Linked DNA regions of Caenorhabditis elegans. The protein of the gene in region 1 interacts with the protein of each later gene in a pairwise test. Each region holds a gene or a part of one and is shown in the gene's direction. Other genes may lie near its edges. The genes, in order: mig-5, C17E7.4, C18B2.5 and tac-1.

Region 1 (7,697 bases):
TTCTTTATAGGAGGATCACTTGAGACTTCCACAACACTCATCATCATCGGAATCGCCACCATCTGAAGGTCCATCGAATAGTGGATTGTTCCGATGGTCATCAAAGGATAAACCGATGACCAGTACTGTCAGCACTGCTAATGGTGTCCGTCTCCCTCCACTGAGCCTACGCCGTCGTACTAACAGTGATCCGAAAAATCGCGATTTCACATCACTGGGCGGCGATGAGTAATACAACTAAATGTGGCAAAGCTTCTTCATTGTTTGAATAATGAAAAACGAATACAAACAACTTTGAAATCAAAACATTAAAACTTACAACATTTCGTTCAATAAAGTATCATCAAAAGAAGAAAACAAAAGCTGAACATGAGAATTTGGGATAAGGAGCAGCAGATCGGAATTATGTGAGAAGCACGCGGAAAACAGGGATATATAAACGGGGTAAACGGGAAAATTTAAGCGTGGCAATCATCTCCTCCAAGTGGCTCTTGCTTGTCAAGTTTGATGAGGTCATCAATACGCAATATCGTAATGGCTGCCTCAGTGGCGAACTTCAGAGACTTGACCTTACTAAGAGCTGGCTCCAAAATTCCAGCCTCCTTGTTATCGCGGATCGTGCCTTCTTCGAGATCCAAACCAGCCCTAAAAAAAGAGTGAATAAACTGACTCAAATTCAGAAAACATGAATTAGACGCTTTTTCTAAGCACAAAACGAAATTTTTTGAAATAAATTATTTTAATTTTATTACATTAAGCTAACATGTAATAACCTACTCTTTAAAAAAAACATTTTCACTTACCACTTGAGGTGTTGAAGTTGTGGGATCAATTGAGCTTTGGAGTGGTACGCGCGGAGTTTTGTCACTAAATCAGTAGAATCTCTTGCAGCATTGCTTGCCAAAACCTTCGGAATGATGAGAAGCGCTGAAGCGAATTCAGCAACAGCAAGCTGCTCGCGAGAAGACAAGGTTTGTGCATAAGTTTCAAGGAAAAGACTGAGAGAAGTCTCAACAGCACCTCCTCCAGCCACAAGTTTCTTGCTTTCCAGAACTCTACGAACAACACAGAGTGAGTCGTGAACCGATCTCTCCATTTCATCGAGCATCACATCGTTCGCTCCACGGAGGATAATGCTGCTGGCAGTACGAGATTTCGGTCCCTTGATGAGAATGAGCTCGTCGTCACTAATTCTTTCTTGAACAATTTCATCGGCATGTCCAAGAAGCGAGGCATCGAAAGCTTCATCTCCTTCCAAAGTAGCCAAGGAAACAGTCAATGTGGCTCCAGTAGCTTTGGCAATTCTCTTCAAGTCTGATTTCTTGCATCGACGAACAGCCATAGCTCCAGATTCGACAAATTGCTTCAAGCACAAATCATCGATACCTCCAGTTGTAAGAACAACGTTGGCTCCGGCTTTCAAAATTTTATCAATGCGGCGTTTGGTAATATCGAATTCTCTGAAAATTCCATAGCTTAAAAAGAAACGAATAGTTTCAACTCACTCTCTGCGAATAGCCTCAAGCTTGGCTGGATCTTCAACAACGACTGAAATACCGAGGTGCATCTTAGCCTTCATCAAAGAGAAATCGAGACATGCGATCTTGGCATTTTGAACACGAAGTGGCATGGCCTGACTGGCAACTGTGCAATTGAGTGCATATCCTTTCACCAAAACTGATTCGCGAGCGCTCTTTCCGTGGGCCTTCAGAACATTGACTGCATTGATAGGATAAGTGACTTTCCCGTTATTTTCCACACGAACAGCTTCCGCGGCATCAACAACCAGCTCTCCGAAGAAATCGGCGTCTCTGAAAAATCAATTTTCTTGAAGCATAGACAACACCAAACTCACGGTCCGATAATCTTACTGCTCATGGAAGTTTTGGCAGCGTTGACAACTGATTGTCTACCAATCGAGTCGGAAGTGAATGAGATGTTTTCACTAATGTACTTGACGGCTTCCTTGCACGCGAGACGGTAACCATTGATAATAGTCGTCGGATGAACTTTTTGTTTCACAAGCTCATCGGCTCTCTTCAAGAGCTCAGCCGCCACAATAACGACAGAAGTAGTTCCATCTCCGACCTCCTCGTCTTGCAGCTGTGCAAGTTCTACAAGCACTTTTCCAGCCGGATGCTCAACCTCGAGTTGTTTCAGAATTGTGGCTCCGTCATTTGTGACAATGACATCTCCAACATCATCGACAAGCATTTTATCAAGTCCGACAGGGCCAAGAGATGACTTCACAATATTGGCGATCGCAACTGCCGCGGTGACTGCAATTAATTAATGTATACTTATATTGAGCTTTCGGTGTTACCATTCTGAGATCTGATGCCTTGTCCAGTAGTTCTTTTACCGGTGAGGGCAAGAATGGAATCTCCAGCTGATGCCATTACCTGAAACACAACCGTATTAACTTAGCAATAGAGTAGGACATTCGATATTGAGTCAAAAAGGGGCTTTGAATAAGCACTCAAAAATAAAAATATACGTAAAAATGAAAATATTTCAGTAAAAATAAAAATGCTTCCAGAAAATCGGGGATCCCTTGAATTCTGAATCAAAATTAAAATTCTTGTAGAATATTCTCAGAGCGCATCGTACTTCATGCATGCTAGAAGGGTAATCGTGCCGAGACCCAACACCAGCTGTCACTAGGGCGTATTTGCAACATTGTTCCCACCCGCGATTTATTGCCGATAAATTAAAAATAAAATTGTTTCCGCTAGTCCTTTGCAAACAAATTTGTTTTTTTTGTTTCCTCTTGTAATTTTTATAAATATTTTATTGGTCTATAATTTAAAATATTGAATTCAGATTTCTAACATTTATGGAGCCGCCATGCACATCAGACTGCAGCCAGATAAAAGTAAGAATTTTGATCAGAATTGTTTTTTATTAAGCCAGTGATTAAACAGAAATAATTTTCTTCCAGGTCTTCTACTATCTCGACGATGAAACGACTCCCTATGTTTCTGTTATTGAAGCCAGAGAAGGAGTAGCGACGCTTGGAAATTTCAAAAATTCATTCACCAAGCGTGGATATAAGTATTATGCGAAGGAACTTGACCCGGATATTCAACGGTGAGTTTTGGCTTTTTTAATTTTTGTAATTATTCTGTACTGAAAAATGTTCAGAGAAGTTAAAGTCGAATTAACAACTGATTCGGATCGGCTGCGCAAATCCCAGAATGGATTTTATGAGATTTTTCTCGTTAGCACTCCAGGATATGGAACTCTTCCTCGAAACAGTGGAACAATGACGCGACCACAGAGAACTGCTCTAGATAAGGTTCGATTTCTGTTATTTTCAAAAAAAACTGATATTTTAAGCGCCGCCGACGAAGTGCAGACTTTGACGCGACTCCGTACTCTGATGCTAGTCTTGCTCCGAGCACCATTGTTAGCAGTGAGTTTTTGCTATTTATGTACTCTTAAAAACCTGTATGAACGTTTTTCAGGAAGAGCAGGAGAGCATCTGGCAGAATTATACACTTCAAATTCAGAGGATCCGTATCAATATGACGAGCATACACGTCGAACAGGAGATGATTCTTCGCTCTACGAACCTCTCGCTGCTCGTGATATGAATAAGATATACGATGACGATAGAAGAAGGAAAAAACAAAAGAAAGAAAGATTCAGAAGACCGTATGTTCCAAGTACTATTAGCTCAGCGACGGAATCAAGTGTTAACAGCGGCCTCCCTCGAATTCTGGAAATTTATCTACCAATGAAAAATGTTCCATATCTGGGACTGAGCGTGTGCACAATTGATGGTCATATATTCGTTTCCGAAATTGCACCAGAAGGTGCCGTTGAAAAAGATGGACGTGTGAACGTTGGTGATCAGATTCTTCAAGTTAATAGAGTATCCTTTGAAGAACTCAGTGGGCCTCAAGCAGTTCGTTCGCTCAGAGAAGCTGCATCCTCCAAAAGGTATTTTTCTACGCATTAGCATTAATTTTTTTTAATTTTTAGACCAATTACTCTTTATATCAGTAAGTTTGCAAGAGGTGCCCCAAGTGAATATGATGATCCACTCGCGTCCATGGCGTCTGAAACGATGCCCCTCGACGTTGGAGTTTGGGTAGAAACCGCTGTGTAAGGGTACCTCGCAAGATTTATTTTCTTAATTTGATACTTACAGGCAGAACACTGAAAAAATGAAAGCTCTGGGTTTGGATCCACAGGAGCAAACGGCAACTACAATTGATGACGGAACTCTTCCATTTACATCGACAGCTTCTGATGATGAGGAGCGAATGCTTTACGATCAACGTAGAAATGGAATTCCAAGAGCTTTGATTGAAGAAGCAGAAAGAAAACGAGAAAATGAGCAAAATGAAAAAATAGAGCAACTCACAGAAATGATTGATCCCATTATTGTTGTTCGTTCTATGGCTCGTCCGGATTCAGGATTAGCTGTCAAAAATCGAAAATGGCTGAAAATTTTGGTTCCAATGTCTTTTATTGGTGAGTACTGAACATTCAAGTATTAGGATCCAAACAATCAACGTTTAGGCCGAGATCTAGTCGATTGGCTCGTTGATCACATGGCTGATATTCATAATCGGAAGAAAGCTAGAATCTATGCTGCGAGATTGTTAGCTGCTGGTCTTATCAGACATGTCGTCAGCAAGTTGACATTCACAGAAAAGTGCTACTATGTATTCGGTGATGGAATTCTTGGCAATGATCGTAATTCCACGGACACCACTGGTACGAGTGGAACTACAATGCGAGTTGAAGCAACTACTGAAGTGACGTATGTTGGCTCACCAGCACCACATGCTCTGGCAGCACGAGTTGGAAGAAATATTCCTCATCGATTAGAAACCACTACTCTAAGCCCAGTTGCTCATGACCAAACATGGCTTCGAAGACGTCGAGATTGTGAGAGTCCTATGACAAATGATTACGCATCGATGGTCGGAGAAAGCCAAATTGGAATGAATCCAGTCGGAAATTATCATGTTTTTGGGACGAAAAATAATCACCGTCAGGTACCGGCACCTTCTCAAGTGACATCCTCAAGCTTGACAAACGGTGAGAAAATTAATCGTTTCTATAGGGTGCAGGAGTTAAATTTGAAGCAAATATTCATTTCAATTGATATAGTATTTGCTGTTTCTTGACTACTGTACCCTTTGTATCCAAATGACTTTTCACATAACAGTATTTCCCCAACCAAATTAGTTACAAATTCCAGGAAGTGGTGGCTTAGGAGGCCCTCCGCCGACTCCTCTATCCAGTACTATGGTTCTAGCAGCTTCTCCGATTCAGTCGCAGAACGCAGTCAACCACGATTTCGACGGGGAGAACAGTAGCAACAGCAGAACGCGTATTTTACGGACTTAAAATTTAAAACTCATTGCCTTTACCGATTCTCGCCTTAATTCCCACATGCTTTATTAATATTTAAAACTATGCCCTGTTTTCATGTATTTCAGTAAGACTAACGTTTTCATTCATTCATGTAATTTTGAGTCTATTTATGAATTATTTTAAATTTCTTCATGACGATGTTCACTTCGAAAAACGATGTGTGATGAAGAAGACTTGGACAGCACCGAAGATAGTTTTAGACATCCATTCCGAGTAGTATGCAGTATCCTTCGTAGTATCCCAGGAGCACATGTTGGCCGTGCAAATTGCAAGATTATCGGTTTTTGCAGAAATAGTACAATGAACCAAAAACTTTTTGCTTCCATTGAGCTTCACTAAATTATCCGAAATTGTTTGGATCATCTTGCTCATCCAATCAGACATTTTGAATGGAGAATATGGAGTTTTACCAATTATTGAATCAAATGATTTTTGAATAATTAAATCAATTTCTTGTTCTTCGGCATTTGAATAGACTTTCTTTTTGAGTTTCTTATTTTTCTTTTCAATCAATTGTCTCAAAAGCTGAGCGTTTTTTGATTCAATTTGCCGCTTTGCTACAGAAGAAGTTGTAGAAGTGTCTAAAATTTCAAATGATGTTGCATAATGTGACAAAGAAAACTAACCTGTCATTTTGAAACAAGGAATGAATGAAATAATTAAAGTTATGCGATAAACATTTGTTTTCTAAATTTGATATATATATTAGAATCTGGTATAAATTTTTTTAACAGTGCGTGTAATTAGAACACGCTCTGAAGGCGAAGTGTTTAGTGCCAATTCAAAATATTACTTACAATTAGACCCGAAAATTTTGCGCTTTTTGTGCCAAAAACACGGTACCTGGTCTCGACACGAAACATTGTTTTTAAATGCAAAAAGGTGTGGGCACAGCATCTCCGACCGGGAGCGAAAAAATTAATTTTATTATAAAATGTGTTGTTAAGTTTTTGTTTTGTTTCCGCGGCTCTGTACCAGATTTTACACTAAAAGTGCACCAGTTTGGAGCACCGGACACACAGAAATTGTGTAATGTTGATGGCGTTCCGTATCCGAAATTGACATGTTTGCAGGGGTCGGTTGAGCTAACAAAGGTGGGTGGTGGAAGACGGAAATACGGTTCGAAGGAATAGTGGGGGGAAAGCTGACTGATTAGCTTGCCATCAGTGATTTACGGAAAATGTTCTGCTTCCTACTATGATTTCCTCATAATTTGAAATTTCATTAACTCTTAAATGTTTACTTAAATGTGATGCGAATTACTCAGAAAATGCACAGTTTTGGAAATGTAGCAAGTGACCAAAACATTTACTGAAAAAAACCTTCACCTTTGAAGTTCCTCTAATATCCAAAAAGTCATCATCAGTCCAATAGACAAAAAGTATTTCCGGTCCGTCATGGCAAGTTTGCCTTTCTCATCACAAACACTTTCTCTCATCCTTTAATTGTTTGTAGATGAGCCGGTCATTAACACTTATCCCTCTTATATCTATCATTCAATAAATCTTTTTGTAATATGCGCACCTCAATAATGTCTACAGACTCTTGATCAAGGTTTGTGGAACGTTTCTTTCTGTTTCCATTCAAACTATTTAATTAGATTTCCTGTAAATTCTGGAATGGAAAAATTTAACTTCATATTCAATTATAACAATGAAAATTAATTTAAAATGGCTTTGTGCAACTTCTTGAAAACAAATTGGAAAACATAGTTATTTTATAGTGAATGCTTTATGTATGCACCTTTATTATATTTCTTTTATTAGTCTTGTATCCTGTTTGCTCTACTTTGACAGCTCTCATGCCGGTTATCTTTGATTTTGTCAAAAGATATTTAACAGCAAAAAGGTATCACATATTTTTCTATATTTTCATAGTCAATTTTTGATATATCGAAAGACAATCGAGATATGAGCTTTCAAAGTAGAGCAGTGAGTTATAGGAAAAATACGGATCTTTTCATAAACTGATCGGATCTGAATTTCCCATACGGAAGCGTCTCTAATCTTGACTCTATTTGACACACAATCATTCAACAGATTTCTTTATTTAATTTTCAGAAATTTCAGATAATATGTCCTAATGGCCTCATATATTCTAAACGCACTTACACTTCGTCACGACCATGACGCAGCTGAACGAACATTGCACCATTTTTGGGATACGGTACGTGAAGGAAAAGTTCCGGTCTCTTTTCGTGAATGAAAAGATTATTTCCACATGATTGGAAGGGTCATTCCCGTTACATTCGTTTTTGAACGGAAAATGAAATTCAAAAAAAAACAGCTGAAGATGACCTAGTC
Region 2 (6,843 bases), on another chromosome or scaffold:
TGTCCGACGGCTCGTTGATGAAAATTCGAATACGCGAGAAGCCATACGGCTCTTTCTGAAATTGGAAACACAGTTTTATCAAGCTGAACAGTTAGGCGGTACCTTTCGAATCCAAATCGGGTCCCAGTCTCTGTACTTCTCCTCCTCTTGCAGAACAACCATCTCGACGATGACCTGCGAATTTTCACCTCGGTTCTCCGCTCGCAGCATCTCATTGAGCGCACTGCCTCTGAAAAATGTGTGTGTGCTGTTGATCAAGACTCTAGGCAAACTTTGGAACACCTACGCCAGACAATTATCTCTCCGTGTGGAGTACACGATTTTCCCACGCGTTGTCCGGCAGGCGATTGTCAATGGAGCGCGGAAAATTCAGTGAGGAAGGCTAGAAACCCGTGACTTGAAATAAAAAATTTTCCTTGGGACAATCTCACTTTTAGGGTTATGTTCTAGAGGTAATGCCAAAATAAGAACCCCAAATGATTTGATGGCCCGACATCTACCGGGTTCTGCTCCGCACTAAGATTACCTCGTAGTGAGCTGGGAACCCGTCAGATGTCAGCCCATGATATTAATTGGAGTCCTAATTTTGAAATTACCCCAGGAAATGACCTATAAGTTGGTAAACCTTTTTAGACCTTTAGCCAAGAAGGTCTACTGAAACCTGACCTAGTCAAAATTTTGAAAAATTCAATTTTGAATGTAATTTTCTAGAGGTAATGTCAAAATAAGGACCTCAAATAATATGGTAGCCTGACGATCATGGATTAATTCAAAACCCAACTCACTGTTCAAAAAGAGCCTGTCGAACTGGACCAAGAAGCTCGCCTGCTTCCTCGGCCTTTTTCTTTGTTCGGCACCAGAAGAACTCAGCGATGTGACCGTACACATGATCCGAATGCCAGAATGTTGGTTTCGCCTCCTGTTGAGTAACCTTCGAAGTAGCGATGGGGAGCAGGAACAGACTGAGCCACACGAGCCAGCGCATCTAAAAATTGATATGAAAACAATAAGAAAATTGGTCATAGATCATAGGTATGTTCCAGATCAAACTGTCGTTGGTTAAAATTAATGAAAAATGGAATCGCAAATTTCAAAAATCAATCAAATTTACATCATACACAACTTAAGAAGTATTTGTGAACAAAGAATTTTGAGATCAAGATTATATTTCAAGATTAGAATTCAAAAAAAGTGACAATTAGAAATTTTGCATCTCAATAGGCATGTCCTGTGGCGACATGCTGGCTTCTCGCTCTCTTCGCATGTTCTCGTGAATCTGTCGGTTTTCAGCTCCCTGACGTTTGGACTCCTCGATGGCGGCTTGGCGTTTTCGGTAGAAATGACTGAAAATTAATTTTACATTACATGCTTTCAATGGGATTTCTAGAATAAATAGAAACCTCTTTTTACGGTAGTGTGACGTCATGGAAGAACTTTCCAGTGTGACGTCACACTTATGAGAAAAAATATTTCACGTGTTTCGGGGGTTTAAGATTTTTAGATTTTTTCAGTGCCCGTGAAGTCAAAATTTGATTTATGCACCACTGCGCTATTTTTTAGTAATCTCTCTATTACGAAACCACGAGATCATGAGAATGCCTACTTTTCTGACGGCAAATATCTCGTAGCGAAGGGACCTGCGTCTCTCTTTGCCACACGCTCTCTCGCTGCTGCGGCCTGCCAATATTTTCGGGCCAGTCAATAGGCATTCTCATGATCTCATAGTTTCGTAATATGTTGCCACCACGTGGTGTCAGAGTGTCCCATCTCGGTTTGATCTACGTTGATCTACAAAAAATGCGGGAGAAGAGACGCAGACTTCTCAACTGATTTCGTATGGTTAAGATCAGGCTGACGTCACATTTTTTTGGCCGGAAACTTCCCGCATTTTTTGTTGATCAAACCGTGATTGGGCAACCTGGCACCACGTGCTGCACCCTTCCATGTCCCCTTGTCGTTCAACTTTCTCATTAGCGCGCGATTACACCGGTAGGAAAACAAAGAAACTTACTATCCCAGACAGGAGAAGGAGACGGCAGCAACGAGAAGTGTGATTCCGGCAGCTGGTCCAAACGTGGGGAGCACAAATTTCCAGTCCTCCTCGTTTTTGATGTTTAGAACATTATCCATTTTTGCTGCAAAAAAAATTTGTTTGAATGAAATGAGGGGTAGAAAACAAACAAAATACGGAGAAAAATTGACACCACTTTTTGGTCACATTGTTTGAAATTTCAAATATACGTATTATAAAAATTATAGGATTTAACACAAGAGGAGTACTTCTCAAGTTTAGGTACTTATCCTTAGATTCTCAGAATCATGTATTTCGGCTCAAGTTTGTTTTTTTACTCCTAATGATTTTAATGAGTTGAGAAACTATTTTGCAAATCTAGAAAGTCTCTAACTCAAAAAAAAGTTGAAGAGTGGCACCAGACGCAAGCTAAAATTGAGAAAATCGAGATAATTTTTCAAACTTTCAAAAAAAGATTTCAAGATTTCAAGATTTCAAAAAAAAAAACTGAGCAAAAAGTGTTGTCTATTCACGTGGCAATAAAAAACCGCAACAGAGGAGTACAACAGAAAAGAAACAAAGAAAATGATTACAAAACCTGAGCGCCCGCGTTGTGGGTCAAATAGTCCCTCCTTCGCGCGCGCAAAAACACAAACATGGGACCTCCCTCCTCCTCCTCCTCCGCGCGACTGCGGTTCTGTTCATGTGCGCGTCACGGTGTATGCAGAATTCTGACCTTTTCAGTGGTAGGCGGGAAATGAGAAGATGAGGGAAGAGGAGAGCCCAGTTGTTTTCGTCTTTCTCCCGCAAAGGATGACCTAGTTTTGGACGGATCGATTTTTTTTTTGAAACAGTTTTTCTTTTTGAATTTTAAACTCTCACAGCTACTCTTCTTCCCGTTTAAAAAATAAGAATGTATTTTAATTTCCTAAGCTTATCTCCACAAAAAGCAATGAAAAGATTTTTAGAAAATGGCTGGACTATTTCGAACAATTTTCAAGGGCAAAAAGTCCCGAAAGGAAAACGAAAACGACGACGATTACACAGTGGTTTGTACCTTTTATCGAATATTATTTCAATCGATTCCCCCCGGTTTCAGTTCAATCCGTGCGTACGCTCAATGTCGCTGAAACGTCAGCCAACCGCCCGTTTTGCCGATGATTGTATGCTCCCACCGACTGCCGCCTATCACACGACAAGTGCACCGAAACTTCGCAAAGGGCCTCAAAGCTGTCCGGGCGGCCGTGATGACTTCAATGCTGCTGCCTACAGTAGATCCAACAAGTTGCCCAGGACCTTCCCACTTGGAGCTTCAAGCTCGAGCCGGCAAGATTTCCAAATTGATGACTTTGAGCGAGGATCTAGAAATCATAAAATTCGGGAATCCTCATCAATGGAGTTTGCAAAAAGAGATCAAAAAGAAGGTGATGATGAGGATAATGAAGCGATGCTCGAACGAAAAAGCCGGTACTACATGCAAAAATGGGAGAATTCGGAAAAACAACGGCGTGAGGAGAGGCGAAAGCAGGAACGGTATGAACAGGAGAGAGAAAGCATTCAAAGCGTGATGTCCAATATGGCCTATTGTATGGCGTCGGCTCAACAACTGGAGCAGTTGAAAAAGGAACGAGACCAGTACAAGAAGGAGATGAGACGGTATAAGGCAAAATGTGAGCAATTGGAGAGCAAGTGCGAGCAACTACAGACCATGTCTCCGAGCTATGGCGCATTTCAGGTAGAGTTTCGGGGCCTTCATTTTTTCGCCTACCATATATGCTCCAAGTTCTTTGCAAAATTTTAAGTTGTAATTCTTCTCGGGTAAAGGTAATTCAACGATTTATTTCCCTGCACCCTGCTCCATCACGTTAATTTCAAATATCCTTCTAGGCCTGCACCATCCATCTCTAAAGGTCCTCGCCACTCCCAATTTTCCCATTAGGGCACGATTGCATTTTCAGAAAATACGGTGTCCTAGACACTAGAGATCGGAACCTTTTCTGGGTGGTGGTTCCCCTGGTATTTAGCTTTAGCTGAGTTTAAGCCGAAGACTGTAGAAACCAACAATGAATTGTTCTACTTCTCAATCTGGGTGAGCCTATTGGGAGGAAGGGCTTGAACTCGTGACCTCTAGATTGCTAGCGGCCACCAATATTATTAAATTATCAAAAAACATATTTTCAGTCTATGCAAAATCTCCAAAATCCAATGCTGCCATCTCCATTCCAAACTCCACAATTTCCTGCTCCACGAAGCTTCGCCTATCCCAACCCGCCACTTCCATTTCATCGTTCCATGGATTTTCTCAATAGTGGACCGCCAAGCTACCTGTACAATGAGAACCTATCTTCGCTGTGCAGCAGCTCGATGAGCCACACGCCGACGACAAACGGGAGCGATGGCGCCGGCGAATCACTTGTTAATCCGTCGGACGTCAGTTTTCTCAAGAACTTTTCTAATGGTAGGTTCTGATAAATTGTTTCTAAACATTCTATCATTTTTTCAGGTCCCACAAATTCCTACGACAATGATGACGAGGACGAGGTCAAAAACTATCGTCAAGAGCAGGACTATTTTGTTTCAAGCCCACAGGCTTCCAATACTAACTAACTATTTATTAATTAATGTATATCTTTGTATTTTGTCAATTCTATTTTTTTCAATTTTAATAAACCGCTAGTAAGTCCTGAAAGAACGATGAATCAAAAAATCGAACAACTCTCAATTTATAGGGATTAGATTTTTTTTTCTCGTCCTATTCTTCACGCTCCCTCCTCATTTCGTTCTGTCCTCAATGGATAACAAGTCCATTAGAATACAATTCATGTTATATTCGATTTTATGCTTTTCGCGCCGATTTCACAGAAAGCGAATATATTGAGAGATATTGTTTTTGCCGCCGGGCACCGTCACTAGGGACACAATTCGTGTGGGTCGTCTTCGATAATTTCCGCTTTTCGTATTTATGTATATCGGCCAAACATTGCCTAACTCGCCTAACTACATTTACTTTTACTATATTTTTTATTCAGTTTTACCTCGCTTTTGTTAGAAATTGCTCATAAAAATTCCAGAGATGCTCGGATACTTTAACAGAACCCATGCTGCTCAGGTCGGAAGCTGGGATACTTTCCAGGGGTTTTTGATATTTGAAGTTTTGCTTATTATTGTTAGGTATGAGTTTCCGCGTTATACTGTCGCGACAGAACGATCGCTCCGCCAATTTTGCATGCGGCAAAGGGGCGTGGTTTATTGGGGGCGGGATTCCGGCGCAACCCTGCGGCACGTTTTTTTCGTGCGGTAATTTTCAGTTATTTTTATTCGTTTTCTGTTCGAAATTTCACGATTTCGCTCGATTTTGTTCGTTTTTTCGGATAAAAAAGTGTTCAACTATTTTTTAAATGAAAAATAACCAAGTTTTATCAGTTTTTACTTGAAAAAATGCTTCGTTTGTCTCTTTTTCTGTAATATACGATGCAAAACGTTAAAAAAAAACGTTTTCTCTTCACATTTTCCTTTTTTTCCCCCCATTTTCTCTCTTAACAATCGTAATTTACAAAAAAAGAGACAAACAAAGCATTTTTCGGGTAAAATCTGTGAAAACTTGGTTATTTTTCATTTAAAAAATAGTTGAACACTTTTTTATGCGAAAAAACGAACAAAATCGAGCGAAATCGTGAAATTTCGAACAGAAAACGAAAAAAAATAGCTGAAAATTACCGCACGAAAAAAGCGAGAAAAAAGCGTGCCGCAGGGTTGCGCCGGAATCCCGTCCCCAATAAACCACGCCCCTTTGCCGCATGCAAAATTGGCGGAGCGATCGTTCTGTCGCGACTGTATTTTCTTTTGTTCAATTACAAATTTTCAGTTTTCTTTCCATAAGCTTCTGGTTCTTAGTGATACTCACCGCAAAAAACATGCATCCAAATTTTCGAATTATCAACGCTTTCTATTACGGACAATACTTGATTCAACTAAGCTTTTGGGTAATTCAGCCATTCATCATTTTGAGGGAAGGTTTGGACGGTGAGTCACATTGCATGAACATCATTTGCTTTGATCTAGGTAGGAGTAGTAGACAAGTTTAAGGGCTTGACGCCTGCCTAAAACCTGTCGCCTGCCTAAAAACTTAAGGTTAAGCAGAAAGGCGTTTTGGTGCCTATATATAAAAGCACGACCTAAATCTAAATGCTTCTTATACTATTTTCTATAAACATTCTGTTTTTTTTCTTGGTTTATGTTTACAAGAATTATATTATTATTTGAACATTACAAACAAAAACATTTATTTTTCGGTAACCTTGGTCGATATTTTACAATAATTTAAATTTAATGACGTCACACAAGTTTACTCTACGATACGTGTGACGTCATGCAATTCAATTCCTGTTGATCAAACGATGATTCTACCTTTTTGAGACAAATATGACTCAATCTAACTCGTAAAATACAAAATACATTGAAATTTTTGAGTTCAATTTTTACAATTTTTGAATGATTTCAGATTCTGACAAATTTGGCAATAGCCTCTTCACACTTTGTAGTTATGTCAGAATTGTTGGGATTTTTTATGGTGAGTTTTCAGATCAAAACTGTTAAAGCTAACGGTGTTATATATAATCTACATATAACATTTTTTTCTAAAACTTTAATCTCTGAAAAAACTAGAATGTGTTAAAACTATACACAATACCCCACTAATTCAAATTCCAGCGTTCTGCGCTTTGCCAGCTTTGGTCATCGAGAGAAGCTTTGCAACGTATTTGCTGGAGAGTTACGAGAAAAAACCAAATTTGTGCATTGGAACATTTATTGTCATGTTTCAATGGGCAACA
Region 3 (9,357 bases), on another chromosome or scaffold:
CAAAAGAAAAATTGCAGAGCAAAAAGTTATTACCAAGAGAGGAGTGGGAGAAAATGAAACGAAAAATTATACTTGACATATACTATTCCGAATTGGACTACACAATTATTAAGCACGTCATAGCGATGCCACTCTCAAGCCTTATTGCTCAAATTGGAGGTGAGTTCTTAAAAAATTTGAGTAAATTACATAGTTGTATGATGATTGTATAATGATAAGAATTTGTGAATCCTCTCCTCGATTAAAGTTGCATAATTCAGTAAATTTAAAATTTGAATCGCGGTAGTAGGGACTTTGTCTTAATAAGATTGACATAGTTTATATGACCGAAGTTTTCAAAAACTAACAGTTTTCCAAGAAATGCGTCATTTACAAACAATGCCTGAGGTGTTTAAATGAAAAATAAAGCATAATTAGAATATTAAAAATGTAGAAAATATTTTTTTGTCAACCTCTATATTTACGATAGGTGAAAACTGCAAATTAACAGCTTTATAAAAATTTAAAAATACCAACTGTTAGTTAGTGTATTGCAATATTAAAATTGTCGTTTTCCAGGTCAATTCTCTCTGTTCGCCGGTGGATCCCTCATTTCACTGTGTCAAATTGTCATCTACTCTGTCCGATACGTTATGCACAAGTACGTGTCTTAAATTATCATTTTGTATGACAAAAGCGATAAAACTGATAAGGAGCAATGTACAGGAATTGTTGCTGCCTTGTCTCGTAAACCGTCATATTTAGGGTTTGAAGTAGAGCGAAAAAATCGAAATCAGTTTGATGAATCGAAACCAAATATTTGTGTTCTATCCTACAAAGTAATACCTGATAAAATCTATGTTTGCGTTCAGATTTGCGTTAAATAGAAAGAACTGATCAAAACATTGTTCTCGAATAATATCAATATAAATATCAACGAATAATAATGTTTGTAGGTTCTGCGGGTTGAAAAGCCAACGGCGGAGGTGTCGAGAGACACGAGAAGCCCACGAGGCTCGTCAACGACGCGACATGCGACGACGTCGCAGAAATAGTACGTCACACAGTCGGTCAACACCGAAACCGCACAATGGGAACGGCAACGGCAAGGTGGTAAATGTGGAAATGGTAACGACGCACACATCAGAAACGACGCCTCCCATATGACATGAGGACTGGAGCTGCATGGTGGCAACCATATGAACTGTCTGATGTATGGCTGTTGCGGGCAGCTTCAGGTATAATTTAGTTTTAAATTGAATGGTGGGGTGTGTTTTAAACGTTTGAGATAATTTTTTATACAGAAAAGTTTCCTGATTCATTTTTTCATGTTTTGAAAACATGTTAAAGAATTGTGTAAATTGTGAAGTAGTGCCAAATAGTGGAAGTTTAAAAAACTCAGTTTTCACGTTTTTGTTGCTCCGACTTTAAACTTTTTGAAAATCCAAGTGCAACTTTTTTTTTCAATTTTAAATATTTGCTAAAACTTAGAATTCTTATTTTTGACCCATGTTGGGTATTTTTTTTGGTGCATTTTCTGGTAAAACTCCTATTGGCGTTACTTCAATTTTAATAACTAAAAGACCTGAACAAATTTTATAAAATGTATCTCAAACTGTATAAGCATCTCCCACTGATTGTTTTCTTTTTTCCCGCTAAACTATATAATTTTTGCACAAATCATTTTCCTTACCTCCTTCATGCAATCTACTGTACTGATCTTTTGCCTATCTTGCATTTGCGTTTTGCTCAAAAAATAGGACTGACGGTTCTGGGTATTTTGAACGAATAGACTCAGAATATGCTCAATTGTAACTATTTCGTGTAAAGAATTTTTATGGCGGTTCAAAATTTCAAACAAAATTCAACTAACTTTAGTTAAATTGAAAAATAAAATAAAAAGCCATGAAAATTTTTGAATTTGTTTTTGTTCAGCACATTTTTTCATTTCAGGTCATTTTTACATTATTCGTCATCACCACGGCTTGTTAGTATTCCTTTGAAAAATTTGAAACTGAATTTATTTTCTAATAAAATTATGACCAACGAAAGCAATTGTGAAAATAACTTTTTTCCTATGGAACCGTTTTGTTTTGAAATTATAATTTATTTTAATTGAACTCAAAACTAAAAAAAATCCTGCGTTTTTTTGAAACAAAGTGCTTACTCATTGGGTACCTAAAAATTAAGAACCATGGTCTTAATTTTTTTTGTTGAGTTTTTTTTTTTTAAATAATTGTGTTCTCATGCTAGATTATTAAACACATTTTCTATCAAAAAAAAATGCGCAAATGCAAGGTATCAACTCGGGAGAATCTTATTCATTTTTCAATTGTTTTCGCTTGTATTTTTTTCCAACCTTCCTCCGCTAGACATGTATTTGATGGGTTTCACCTTTTTCTTCCAATTTCAGTTCACGTTTTTTTGTTCAGCATCTCTTTTTTCCCCTCTTTTCAAAAGTATTCAATCTTATGCAATGTTGTTCTCAATAAAAGCAATAATGTGTTCAGTCCTTTACATGCGAGCAAACAGTCCTGAAACTTAACTGGCAGAGAATTGATATGCGTGTGGTTTATCATGTTTTTTCAGGGTTCTATAACTGGAAAGAAACTTATCACAAAGAAGAAATTCCACTCTTTACATTTTCAATTTTTGAAAGAATAATGAAGCTATGTTTTCTTTTCTTTTTTTTTGAACTTTTGAACTTTCAGGTAAAACAAAAAAGTTTTCTTAAATCTATTTTGGATTCAAATCGAGGAATGCCTTGGAAACTGATTTTTTTTTCACTAAAAGATTGTATCTTAAGAACTTTCGTTCCATTTTCTAGTCAAATTAAACTGTAAACTATTATGTCCTTCAATTGGGATGTATTGTAAAATTTGACCCGTTCCAAAATTATGATGGCATCTACTCATTTTTGTAGAAATAAAACCCAACCATCTGCTAGTCTCGGCAAACAACACGCGAACTTTGTTTTTATCCCCTCTCACTCTCAGTTCAGTTCAGCGCTCTCCACCGATTTTTTATTTTGATTTAACTCGTCAATACTCTCGTTCCATTGTTACGGTTGTTAGCTGCATATACAATACGTTTTTGGCGCCTGACGCGAGAAGGTGTAATGCGTGGCACGCATTGATAAGCGACACGGTTTGACAGGAAACTTTTAAGCAGTGCTCTGCCATTTCTGTCTTTGCACTCCATTACACCGTGCAATTTGCCTTTTACCGATCTTTCGTCACGGTCAATCATCTCCGTTTTCAGCCAGGTTTTTCTGTTTCAAATATAATTTCACGGGGAGTACAATAGGAATGGTTTGTCTTTGATGATAGTTGAGCAAAGTTTGCAGAAATAATCATATTTTATATGTAGCATAAGTTTGTTTTGCTATTTTTCTTAATTCTCACTGTTTATCGTTCTCGATTTTTCCATTCCCACAATTTAACAACTCCTATTATTGTGTCTTTTGTACAGACATGTCGCGAAGCACGGCTGTCAGCATCAACTTGGATGACGTCTTTGGCAACCTTCCAGCGTTGACATCTGCCACCAACGTGAAATCTTCCGAGGTAACCAAAAATTTCGCAGAATTTTTGTATTTCCAATAAATTTTGAAAATAATTTCAGTCTGGAAATAGAAGCCGCAAGACAACTGCTTCGAGTGTATCCACTGTGAGAGAGGTTCCGGTAAGAGTTCATTATGGTATAGAGCTCATAATACTTGTAAACTTTTCCAGATTGGAAACGGAATCCGATCACATGCGACATCAACTGTGGTGTCCCATCCACCACATGCAGTATCTGCACCTCCACCACCACCAGTCAATGTCACCCCAATTTCGCATTACTACGATGCAACTCCAGTGAATGACGATTTGATGAACTCGGTAACTATATTTTTAACTGAACCACTTTTCACAACAACGTTTTAAAGGTCTTTTCCGCTGTGACACTGCCAACTGTCAACTTGCACGGAGGACATGACGATGCTCTCCGTCATCTCGACGAAGCTTTGTATGGTGAGGATCACGAGTCCATCGTCAGTGAGCCACCATTTCAAGCTCCAAGCCATGTGAGCTCGTCACATGTTACATCTCATGTTAGCTCGCACAGAAATCAGTATGCAAGCGAACATCACCCACAAAACGCAAGCGTAGTGTCAAACGGATCTGCCAAGGTAAATTTCAATTTTTAGGAACTATTCGGGTAAGTTGGTCCGTTTTAGAGGCATGCCGCTGCACGAACTGGAAGTCTCGTCGTGAACAATGTTTTCAACGATTTGAATATCAATTCTCAAAGCTATGCAAGTTATTTGCATTGTGTTGAAAATAGATTGTTTTGAATTCAAAGTAAGTTCGTAATTTTCAGCACTACGACGCCTACGGATCTGAGCCGCAGCCGGATTATGAAGACGAGAGAAGTGACCACTTCAATCTGAATCATCAATATCCAATCAGAACGGGTGAGTGTCACTTTTCAAGACGGAAATAAAAAAAATTGTAGAAGCATGTAAATAAGTTGCAACGGTCATATTTCTGCTATGAGTCAGTTATTGAGGAGTGAACAGTGGTGTAGGCTTTTGTTATGCACATTGAACATAACTAGTCATACTCTTGTCTGCTCAAAAATGTTTGACTATTTTTATACTCAAGCGGGTCGTAAGTGTATCCGAAATAGTACTAGTTAGTTTTAAAAAAAGTTGCATATAATCAATGTATGTTTAAAAAAGTTATTTTAGCACAACCACACCGTGATCGTTCCAACACCATCGATAGCTCCGCATCGTTTGCTGAAAGCCGTTTCGGACAATTCGATGTTCACGATGAGCATGACCGTTACCATGGTGAAGAAATCAACCTTCATCATGACGAAGTGGCATATGAACGCCCACGTTCTGAGCTCAGCGTGAGAAAATTATCAAAAAAATCTTCATTATCATTAATAAAGTCTTTTTACAGTCACCAGGAAGTGTGTACTCTTCCCATACCCAAGCTTCGTTCCACACTGGTGGAACCCAGAAGCTGAGAAATCTTCAACGCCAAGTTGAAGATGCTCACGCGAAAAAAGCTCAGCTCTCTCATCAAGTTGACCGTCAACGCGCTGACAATGACCGCATGACTCATGCTAATTTGGCTCGTGAAGCTTCATTGAAGGTCAACAAAATTGGACAAGGTGCGAAGCCACAAGGCTACCACGTTCGCTCGTACAGCCATGAGCACGATCATCATCATTTGCCGCCACAGCCGAAATCCAGCCATTCTTCAAGTAAGTTTTAGAGAATTTAATTAGACTTATAAACACGGTCTTAACAAACACTCAAACTTGCCAAAATAACAAGATAATCAGGCTTCATTTTTCTGAGGTCGAAGTGAGTGTACCGTAGGAGTACTGCAGGAGTACGGTAGGATTACTGTAGTTTTCGTAAAATTTGATATAGAGCTTTTGAAGAGGTTGCGGTTTGCTGACATAACCGTGATAGTTTTTTTTTTTTTGAAAGTGTAAAATTGTTTCAAATCTTTCAAAAATGTTAGAAGCTTTACAAAAGTTTGAGGCTTTCCAAAACACTTCCGAAAAGATCACAATGCTCTAGAGGAACTTGTGTAGTATACCATACCCAAAACTATTATCCAATACGCTTTCAGTCGTTTCTTTCAAAAATGATAATATAATCAAAACTTGAACTACATTTGCATTTTTAAGCTCAGGAAACACTAATCCCATGCCTAATGTAGATTTAAAAAAATCACGAACATTTTTAAAATGGTTAAAACTTTCGGGCCAGGTGTACTGCACACACTCTACAAAAGTGTATAAATTATTTAAAAGAAAAAAAACCATGCACCTGCAAAAATGTGTGGCAGTTTTCAATTTTCTGTTTGTTCAATTTTCTGAGTACAATCAACGTTTTCTGTGCGAACTTCTATGTAAAACATATTATTTAAATTTTCTATTGCGTATATCGAATATTTAAGAGAGCGTGGACTCAAGCATCTACGAAGAGGAGGAAGCTCGTGTCAGCCCACTAGCTGCTAAACAAAAGGCAGCAGGAGAACATGTAAGTCATTTATTTTTCATATGAAAATTATTTTAATATTCTTAAAAATTATTAGATTGCAAGCAGCGGAAAATACGAGCTCGTTGTTCCACAATACTATGTTGTTGAAAACTTCTCCAAGAATGACAAGATCAACAAGGTTATCATTGGAGGAGATGCTCCACCAAGTGACGATGACAAGACTCTGCTCCTGTTCGGTCCAGTTAATTCTGGAAAGACTTCTGCTATTACCAGCATGATGAACTATTTGTATGATGTTAAGAAGGAGAATGATTTCCGGTAACTTAATTTTTTAATTTTCAATGTTATAATGTTCATTATTCTTCTTTTTTCAGATTTGTTTTGGACGAGCATGTGAACGCAACCACTGGACTCACCGCCTACGTTTTCAACAACACTGTTCTTCCTTATAACGTCACTGTTGTTGACACACCCGGGGTTGAGGACAAAATGGGCAACAAGACGGTCTCGCGACTTATCAAGCAGTGGTTTGAGAAGGTGAACTATTGAAACTTTGCAAAAAATTCTAAATTTCACGTTTTAGGAGCTTCTCAAATCTGGATCCTTCCGTCTTGATGCAATCTCAATTGTTTTGAGACACGACGAGAATCAACTGGGATGGCCGTTCATTTATGAGTTGGCTGATGTTAAGAGAATGTTCGGAGACGATTTGAAAACAAACGTTCTGCCGATTATCACCAACTCTGAAGTTCTCCCACAGCCAATTGCCATCAAAAGTCTCACACAGGCCAACATTTCTTTCCTTGAATACTACAAAGTTAACAACTCGGGATTCGCACCACTCCCAACAGGAATTTCCAAACTTCAACATAATCTCTACTGGACACACGGAACAGCTTCGTTGGAGAATCTTTTCAGAGTAAATATTATGGGTTGGGGAAGTGAAATTTAAAACTGAAAATACTAGGTGTCTCAGTCTGCGTATTTAACTCGGTTTAGTTGAAAATAACTGAAAATAGTACACTTTATTTGAAAAGTAATTTTGGCTTTCAAAAATCATCTTTCAAAAATCATCACATGAAAGCAAAGAACATAAGTATAAATTGAGGCGTCTCAAGATTATTTTTCAACCCGTCCGGGATCAAATTCAATTCAAACTTATATTGAAAAACGTATGCAGAAAAAACTGTATCTGATGAAACTTTAACATATTTTGAACTCCAACTTCAGCATAATTTTAATTTATTTCATATGTATGGGAAGGCTTTCAAATATTCAAAATAGAAAACTTTCCATGAAAACTATTCCGGTTTTTATAGTAATTATGACATAAAATTTTTCAAATGTGCTTATGAACATTTAAATAATTTTTTTAAACATATTTATATATTTTTGTTTTCGGTTTAGTTCTAAGCTTTTTTCATATCAAGTTTTTAACTCATATTAACTCACTTTTCAAAATTGTATTAATAATGTTCGAATGTGAGAGATGATATTAATTTTTGCGGTTTTGATAGGTCAGCTTATTATCTATGCTTCTGAAACTACCTTATTAAATCTTTCACTTCAGGATTTGCAAGAAACTGTCCACCCACTAGTTGCCATCCTCCGACACAACAAGGGACAAAAAGTCGAACAAGCTCCAGTGTTTGCTGATAAAGTGTTGTATTAAAAAACAATTTATTATTATTAGTATTATTATTTGTGTTTTCTGATTCAATGGTTTCAATTTAATCTCCGATCCACTCATTTTGTATTTATTGTTCGACTTAACATTTTTATCCAACGCGACTCGATAAACATTCCCTATCAATCGTTTTTTTTGTTTTTCAGCTTCATTTCTTTTCGCTAAGGAACTAATATAATTTTTGGCAGAATAATATTGTTCATTGATATTTAAATCAAAAATACAAATAATATTATAGGAAATTCTAGAAATTTCGACATATCAGTTAAGAGGAACGCTATTACAAGTGTCAAGTTTTACAAATATGATTACCTAGTGTATAAAACGAATTTCAGGAAATTTTAATTTTCAAAGTGTACAGAGAAAGCCTAGATTGATAGATACTATCACTTTCAAAAGTTCCTTAAAATTCAAAGCAAATGATGATACTCATTTTAAAGTGAATTAAAATTGTGAACATAACATTCGAACTTTTTGGAGCTTAGGCCGGATAATAATGTGTTGAACTATACAGAAACAAAAAAGAAACATTTGAATACTTTGGAGTACATCTACTTTAAAAACCAGAAAAGTTTCAAATGAATTCACCAAATTTTTAAGAGTCTTTCAAATTAACATAATAAATGTTCTCTTATTTATTTATTTTAACTTTCACCACAAATTGTTCAACAAATTAATACAACTACTTGTTTTTTTTCCAGAAATGTTTAAATACACGACCAAAATCGACTCAAAATTTTCCAAAAGTAGCTCGTTGCCTAATTACCTTTATTTCCCGGCAATTCTGCCCTTATAATAATAAACCTTCATATTCATGATTAATGGCATCGATACTCCCCTCTCTATCTAATGGCAAACACTATTTGTCTTTCGCCACTCACCACTCACTAGAGAGCCATGACTTGTGAGAGACGCAGAAAACAAGGCAATGGAAAACGCGCTCCATTGCGGGTCTCGGGGTCGTGAGTCAGTGTTGGCTACCCTCGCCGTATGAAAACGTTGCCATCACGCCATTCCATGCCGTTTTTCGTCGATTTCGTGTATTTCGCAATTCCCGATCTGCTCATTAATTCCATTTTCCTCCTTAAAAAGCAGTATTTTTGATTTTTTTTTGTTCTTCAGCAGCACCATGTCGCTCAACACGTCGCACACACCCGATGGCCAAGGCATTTTGATTTATAATGGAGAAATGTAAGTTTTTTAAATTCTTTCTCAAAACTGATTCTTTTCAAATTATGAAATAAGTTTTTATAATTTCAGGATTCTTCTCTACACAACAAATGTAAAGCTGAAGTTCGAGAAGTACAATGTTCCTGCGTTCAAGTCCACCAAGTCGGGAGCCCTCTATCTCACTTCACACAGAGTGAGTTTTAAAGTTTTTGAGTTGCAAATTTTCATTTCTGGATAGGTTTTTTTTTTCATTTTAGCTGAAAACCAAAACGTTTGATCCTAAATTTCAAATATTTCAACTTTATTTTTTCAGATAATTTTCATGAACGAGAGCAAGAAAGATGAGTTCAAATCCTTCGCGATGCCATTCAATTCAGTGCGAGATGTGAAACTTGAACAGCCACTTCTCACCCCAAACTATCTCAAGGTTTTTTTTTCAATCTTAAATGACTTGCAGTCACATTTTTAATTTTTCAGGGATGGGTTCAACCAATGCCTGGAGGCAACT
Region 4 (6,017 bases), 6.6 Mb from region 1:
CAAACTATCTGATTGTCGGGCGTAGATCTGTGACGACTCCTTCCAGAAAAATGTACCTTGAGGATGGCCTAGTTTCTAGTTTCGAGGCCACTTAGCAGAAAATTGCTCTAGTCCGGTTCGTAGCTCATTTTTCGGTACTTTGCTCCTCGCTTCCGCAACTCGGTGCGACCTACGCCTACCTAGCTTGGTGCTGGACTAGGACTAGGGCACTGGACTAGGGCACTACGTGGCCGCGAGAATTGGAATTTTCTCGGAAATGTACTTCACGAATGTTTTAAATTCTGAGTGGCCCGACAAGCGCTTAGGCCGGCAAAATACGGCCACCGATGTCTAGCGACTACGACATGAATCTCAATTTCGACTTTTAGGCCATTCAAATACTCGCAAAAAGTCCGGAATGACTTCCAGCTTCTACGAGTTAAAGCTCAAGAACTGGAAATTCTGTCGACAAATCGGATACTCGGAATACGAAGCGACGCGGACCTGAGCACGCTGATCTCATGGCAAAGCGAGCTGTGTCGTGACGATACCGTTGGCTTCGTGCTGGATAAGAACGTCAGCGAGTATCGTGTCAGCTGCGTGTGGACGGGCTCCTCACAGCTTGGACAGTGCCGTGCGGTTCCGCCGAAGTACATGGCGGAAGTGTACAGCTTTATTGAGGAGGACGAGTGGGAAGAGAAGTTGCAGGTGGGGAAAGAGTTTTAGATTTTGAAGGTGGTGTAGTCGAATTTTTTTTTGCTTATTAGACTTGAAATTGTCTAAAAAACGAATTTCATAATTAAAATTCTTGAAAACTTCTCAAAAAAAGTTATGGCGGCTCAAAAAATTACTTAAAATTAGTAAAACTAGAAGTTCGACTTGCCAAACGGTTGGAAACTAACTTTTTTGAAATTACCGTCTAATTTTGGGTGTACAATAATTATCATGCGTTTTCAACTCGGTTTGAAAGGCCAGAAGACCTTAAATGTACCTAAATCGAGTTGAAAACGCAAGTTAATTAACTTATACATCCAAAATTAGACGACCATTTCAAAAAAGTTAGTTTCCAGCCGCTGACAAGTCAAATTTCAAATTTTAACGAATTTTATGTCATTTTTTTTGAGCCGTCATAACTTTTTTTTTTTGAGAAGTTTTCAAGAAGATTCATTAGGAGATTCGGCGTTTTAGACAATTCCAAGTCTAATAAAGCAATTTGTAGAAAATTCGCCTAGTTTAACCAATTTCTCACAGCTTTTCTCATTCAGAAAGTGCGAAACGCCATCGGATGTGACACCTCGGCAGCCGTCAACTTCCAGGAATTTGTAGAAATCAAGCCACCGAAAACGAATGGAGCTCATGGTGCATCGATTAGAAAATCCGGAGGAAAAACGAATACAACCGCAATTCGCTATGTGAAACGTCACAGAACATTGTCCGAATTCGTGATTTGCAATGATCGTTGTGTTCAGGGAGGAATCGGATATTCAGCCTCGTTGGTCATCATTTTGGCGTTGGCAATCTCGTTTTTTAAGAACTGTATTCAGGTCGAATAAATATGAGCTTTTTTTTGCGAAAATCTTTTTTGTTGTTTTTTAATTTTTTTTTTCTAAATTTTTGTCATGATTTTTTATATTTTGAAAACAAAAATAAAAAGGGCTAAACAGAAATATTATTAAATTTTAAATTCCCGCGCAAAGCGAGTGACGTCATTTTCGACATTTTTGCGTTTTTCCGGCTATTTTAATTGATATTTCTCTGTTTTATAACTTGAAACATAATTTGTGGATTTTTCAGACATTCTTTCGTAATGAAATTTGCTGAAAAATTGAAGAAAAATCAATTAAAGTCAGAGAACGCGAAAGTGACGTCACTTTTTTTACTCTGGAATTCAAAAAAAATCAGTTCTTTTGACCTTTTTTTTGGCCTGATTTTGGCTTTTTGGTCTTTTTGGCCTTTTTTGCGTTTTCCGACTGTTTTATCTGGTTTTTCTTTATTTTTCGTTATGTCACAATTTTAAACAAAATTTATAAAATTTTCAGAAATTTTTCCGTAAAAAACTTGTTGAAACTCTAAAATTAGCCTAAAATCGATAATTTAATTTTTGAAAAACGTTTTTTGTGGAAAAATGTCCGAAAAATTGACAAATTATGTTCCAAATTGTAAAAAATGGAAAAAAAATAAAAAAAACAGCCAGAAAACCAAATTCAAAAAATCAAAAAAAAATTAGAAAATTTTTATAAATTTTTTCACTGTTATATTCTGCCATTTAGAGCAAATTTTTAAAATTTTCAAAACTATTACCTTCGCCTTCGCCTGCCTCGCATGCTCAACTTTCGCCAGCTCCTGGCTCTTCACCTCGAAAACTATTTTATTCCGTTTTTCGAGTATATCTCCGGCTAATTCGAACAATTCGACGCCGAGAAGATCGATGAGCTCGCCCTGTAGATCCATATCGGAACGTGTCGAGCACAACATTTGTAGAAGGTTTTGGGATATTGTCTGAAGGAAAATAGGTTAGAAACTTGATTTTTTAGCCGAAAATCAACCTCAAACGTATCTGGAAAATATATAAGCAATGTGTCAGCAATCGGCTGAAAAATGCTCCCAGAGCCCGAGGTAGAAGGCACTTGGGGTAGGGAAAGAGCTTCTGGAGCTTCTGAAAAACCTTCTTGTTCAGCTTCACAATTCGACCATTCTAGAAATTCCGATGGAAATCGAATTTGAATTTCCTGGTGGAAGCTTGCTACCCGTGATGGTGAGGGTGGATCTGAAAAAACATCTGGTAAAAATTTTTTTAATAAAAAAATGGAAAAAAAGCTAACTAACCATCTCCAATTCGTTCGATATAGTTGAGAAGATCCATTTTGTACCTAGTTTGGCAGCTGTAAAATTAGAATTAAAATTAAAATGAAAAACTATATTTTTCAAGAGAGAAGGATGTTCAAACATTGTTCAAAATTTCGCAATTTTTGAAAAATCGATTTTTTTCTGAAGTTTTAAGTTTTAATTACTTTTAATTTCTATTTTGTTTAATTGCCAAATATTTTTGTTTTTTTCTCTGTTTTAAGGTGAAAATTAATAAAAATGAACAAAATAAGGTCCTGGCCGCTTCCCTTCTCTGACCTAGCGCTTTCTAGGCCAACTGCACTTTTATTTGGCGGTTTTTTATGCAAAAGTGTATTATATTAATTTTTTTCGCAATAAAGATGTGTTTTTAATCATTAAAATAGTTTAAAATGAAGAGAAACATTGAAAATTGAAAGATAACAAAAAATGTTTTTAAAAAAATTCTACAGTACTTTTTAAAGGCGCAGTCCAATTTTTGTATTGATTTTCCCGCCACGATTACTCTTGTGGACTCTTTTTTCGTGCTTTTTTTGTTGTTGGTTATGGTTTTTACTGATTTTTTTTGAATTAAAAATTAAAAAATGACTTTTTTAATTAAAAATTTGTTTCAATTATTTTGAAACCCTCTTGTAAAGCCTTGTAAAACAAGAAAATTGAACTACAGAAGTTTTAAAGGCGCATACTAATCTTCAAAACAATTTTCCTACCACGAAAATAAATGATGACGCGGGAAAACTGAAGAATCGTTAATTTTCTCCGTTTTTCACGAAAAATGTCGGTTTTTTCTATTAAATTCATCCGATTTTCAGATGTCGCTCAACACAACCTTCACCAAAGAGGACGGAACCGAGGTCGTCATCCCATTCAACGGGTCGCAAAATGGGCATCCGGAGAACGAGGAGCCAGAGGTTGAAGAAGCCGCGGAGCCCAGTTCTTCAGTGGAGACACTGTGCGGTGCCACGAGAGGCGACATCATTGTGATGAAGCACACGACGAAGGCGCTCACAGAGTTGATCGAGCGGCTCTTGCACTCGGATGGTGAGAAGCTTTGAAAAATTGCTAAAAGAGATTTTAAGAGGAATAAAACCATATTAATTTCAGAATTCGAAGTCCGTCGCTGCTCAAACGGCCAAATCATCTCACAAGGCCGCTGCAACGGAACAACGCCAGGAAACGGCATCGGAGGCGGCGGGGCATCAAGCGAGGAGCTCGAAAAAGCGCTGAAAGATCGAGATGCCGCCCGTGCCGAAGCCGACAAGCTCCACGCCAACTACGCGACACTGTTCGCCTCGTTCAACACGGTTCGCGAAGCCGCCAACGACATCCGCGGCGAGTACGAGGACGCGAGGGACAAGCTGAAGCTCGCCGCCGCCGAAGTTGACGAGTGGCAGGCAAAGTTCCTCGCCGTCAAGGATAATGCGAATTCTGAGCTTGAGAGGTGAGTGAGAGAAAATTTAATTTGCAACATGTAAGAATATATTTCAATTCAGAGCATCCGTGGAGTACGACGATCTTCTCCGATCCCACGATGAGAACACAAAGGGACTCCGTCTGCGTGTAAAACGCCAGGAAATCGAGCTCTCCAGCAAGAACGACGAGATCAAGGTGCTCACGAACCGCGTGTCGGAGCTCTCACAGATTTGCGATCAACTTCTGAATGATGTCGACGTTTCCGATGGGATGTCCGTTATTTCGACGGATGCATAATTTATTTCTGTAAAATATAATATTTCTTCCCCCCGCCTTTTCGCTTTCCGCCTTATATTTTCTAATTGTACATGAATTTTTCAGCTTATTTATTTGTTTTCCAGATTATTTGTATGAGAAACAAGTACAAAAGGCTTCGTTTCAGTATTTTACCGAGAAAAACTACAATCTTCTAAATTTTCGCGCCAAAGATACAGCGCCCGGTCTCGACACGAAAAACATTTGCCAAATGCAAGCATGTGTGCGCCTTTAAAGTGTACTGTAATTTCCAGGCCGAATTTGTTTTGATTTTTTTAGTTCTCACTTGTTTTTCCAAACAATTTATGCGTTGTTACGAGGTTTTTGTAATAAAAGTCAATAAAATTCCTACAGTAATCTTTAAAGGCGCACACCTCTTTTCAGACTGCCGCATGGATTTTGAGCGAATTTTTTGATTAAAATGTATGCAAAACTTTCAAAATTTCTATTAAAATCTTGCAATTTTCCAGATGAAAAAAGTGGAAATTCTGAAAACATCTCGGCCATCATCTGCAGGAGGCGCTGCCCGACCCTCCACAGCGAGCCCAACTCATGGAGCACCGAAAATCGCCATCAAAACACGTCCGGTGGCCGATGACGTGGCGCCTACCGCCGCTACGGTCATCGAGCCATCGCAAAAAGCGATGAAGGAGTCTGTGCGATTTTTGACGGATTTCGGAGAGATTTCCGATGCGATTTCAGTGTGTTTTTTATTTTAATAATTTATTATGGAGACGCAGAAAAATGGCTTCTTGAAATTGGAGACGTGAAAACGCGCTCCACCGAACTATGGGTCTCGTTAGGGTTTGCTCGTAAATTCAAATGCTTCCAAAATTTTAAAAATTAATTTGAAAAATGTTCAAGCATTTTTCGTACTTTTTCTCAATTTTGAAGCATTTTTTGTGTTTTTTCTCAATTTTGAAGCATTTTTTGTCAAATTTCTTAAGTTTTTTGTGCTTCTTGCTAATTTTAAAGCATTTTTCGTATTTTTTGTCAATTTTTTAAGCATTTTTCGTCCCTTTTGACAGTTTTCAAGCATTTATCATTTATAATTTCAACAAAAAATTTCAACACATTAAAAAAACAGAAGACGACGAAAAAAACGAAAAATGCTTGAAAATTGACAAAAAAAATTACAAAAATTGCTTGAAAATGTTAAACAAAAAACACGAAAAATTCTTGAAAATTGACAAAAAATTACAAAAAAATTCTTGAAAATGTAAAAAAAAACACGATAAATGCTTGAAAATTGAAGAAAGAAGCACGAAAACTACTTGAACATTGACACAAAAAAATTACAAAAATTGCTAGAAAATTGAAAAAAACATTACAAAAAATGCTTGAAAATCGACAAAAAAAGGTCGAAAAATCCTTGAAAATTGACAAAAAAATTACGAAAAATAGCTTGAAAAAGTTCAAAAACAAAAAAACGAAAAACTTGAAAATTTTTAAAATTACGGTTTCGC

The links.
Region 2: the proteins of mig-5 (region 1) and C17E7.4 interact in a two-hybrid assay, tested with the Caenorhabditis elegans proteins (3 studies listed by BioGRID).
Region 3: the proteins of mig-5 (region 1) and C18B2.5 interact in a two-hybrid assay, tested with the Caenorhabditis elegans proteins (2 studies listed by BioGRID).
Region 4: the proteins of mig-5 (region 1) and tac-1 interact in binary tests that used the Caenorhabditis elegans proteins (3 or more experiments, as listed by UniProt).

What each region holds. Positions count from the first base shown.
Region 1 is NC_003280.10:8,180,148-8,187,844, reverse strand, and holds mig-5 (Segment polarity protein dishevelled homolog mig-5), read left to right. Parts: upstream 1-2,821; 5' UTR 2,822-2,836; coding exon 2,837-2,875; intron 2,876-2,941; coding exon 2,942-3,090; intron 3,091-3,144; coding exon 3,145-3,298; intron 3,299-3,339; coding exon 3,340-3,415; intron 3,416-3,467; coding exon 3,468-3,945; intron 3,946-3,987; coding exon 3,988-4,110; intron 4,111-4,156; coding exon 4,157-4,482; intron 4,483-4,530; coding exon 4,531-5,055; intron 5,056-5,205; coding exon of another isoform or gene 5,206-5,218; coding exon 5,219-5,367; 3' UTR 5,368-5,522; downstream 5,523-7,697. Other genes in the region: T05C12.8 (ANK_REP_REGION domain-containing protein), read left to right, coding at 11-232; cct-1 (T-complex protein 1 subunit alpha), read right to left, coding at 459-645, 804-1,460, 1,506-1,811, 1,856-2,279, 2,324-2,399; dylt-3 (DYnein Light chain (Tctex type)), read right to left, coding at 5,536-5,975, 6,021-6,027; T05C12.4 (uncharacterized protein), read left to right, coding at 7,477-7,560. UniProt on the Caenorhabditis elegans protein: Plays a role in the signal transduction pathways mediated by multiple Wnt genes. Functions redundantly with other dishevelled family members throughout development.
Region 2 is NC_003283.11:3,889,877-3,896,719, forward strand, and holds C17E7.4 (BZIP domain-containing protein), read left to right. Parts: upstream 1-2,977; 5' UTR 2,978-2,982; coding exon 2,983-3,060; intron 3,061-3,110; coding exon 3,111-3,746; intron 3,747-4,192; coding exon 4,193-4,469; intron 4,470-4,514; coding exon 4,515-4,618; 3' UTR 4,619-4,697; downstream 4,698-6,843. Other genes in the region: C17E7.9 (uncharacterized protein), read right to left, coding at 1-55, 103-229, 287-370, 786-985; C17E7.12 (uncharacterized protein), read right to left, coding at 1,199-1,343, 2,012-2,130; sre-9 (Serpentine Receptor, class E (Epsilon)), read left to right, coding at 5,085-5,182, 5,877-6,034, 6,513-6,581, 6,722-6,843.
Region 3 is NC_003284.9:3,605,186-3,614,542, reverse strand, and holds C18B2.5 (G domain-containing protein), read left to right. Parts: upstream 1-3,450; 5' UTR 3,451-3,452; coding exon 3,453-3,545; intron 3,546-3,603; coding exon 3,604-3,663; intron 3,664-3,713; coding exon 3,714-3,863; intron 3,864-3,910; coding exon 3,911-4,153; intron 4,154-4,201; coding exon 4,202-4,279; intron 4,280-4,344; coding exon 4,345-4,438; intron 4,439-4,714; coding exon 4,715-4,881; intron 4,882-4,934; coding exon 4,935-5,241; intron 5,242-5,948; coding exon 5,949-6,031; intron 6,032-6,086; coding exon 6,087-6,310; intron 6,311-6,366; coding exon 6,367-6,529; intron 6,530-6,575; coding exon 6,576-6,911; intron 6,912-7,562; coding exon 7,563-7,664; downstream 7,665-9,357. Other genes in the region: del-9 (DEgenerin Like), read left to right, coding at 18-159, 559-640, 936-1,146; C18B2.4 (GRAM domain-containing protein), read left to right, coding at 8,809-8,870, 8,940-9,042, 9,163-9,276, 9,327-9,357.
Region 4 is NC_003280.10:14,751,494-14,757,510, reverse strand, and holds tac-1 (Transforming acid coiled-coil-containing protein 1), read left to right. Parts: upstream 1-3,633; 5' UTR 3,634-3,635; coding exon 3,636-3,864; intron 3,865-3,927; coding exon 3,928-4,264; intron 4,265-4,316; coding exon 4,317-4,533; 3' UTR 4,534-4,620; downstream 4,621-6,017. Other genes in the region: Y54E2A.5 (uncharacterized protein), read left to right, coding at 369-687, 1,245-1,532; Y54E2A.4 (Activating signal cointegrator 1 complex subunit 3), read right to left, coding at 2,281-2,478, 2,526-2,746, 2,806-2,842; smg-9 (Nonsense-mediated mRNA decay factor SMG9), read left to right, coding at 5,022-5,252. UniProt on the Caenorhabditis elegans protein: Involved in microtubule formation, polymerization and assembly, regulating microtubule nucleation and length. Plays a role in pronuclear migration and mitotic and meiotic spindle elongation during early embryogenesis.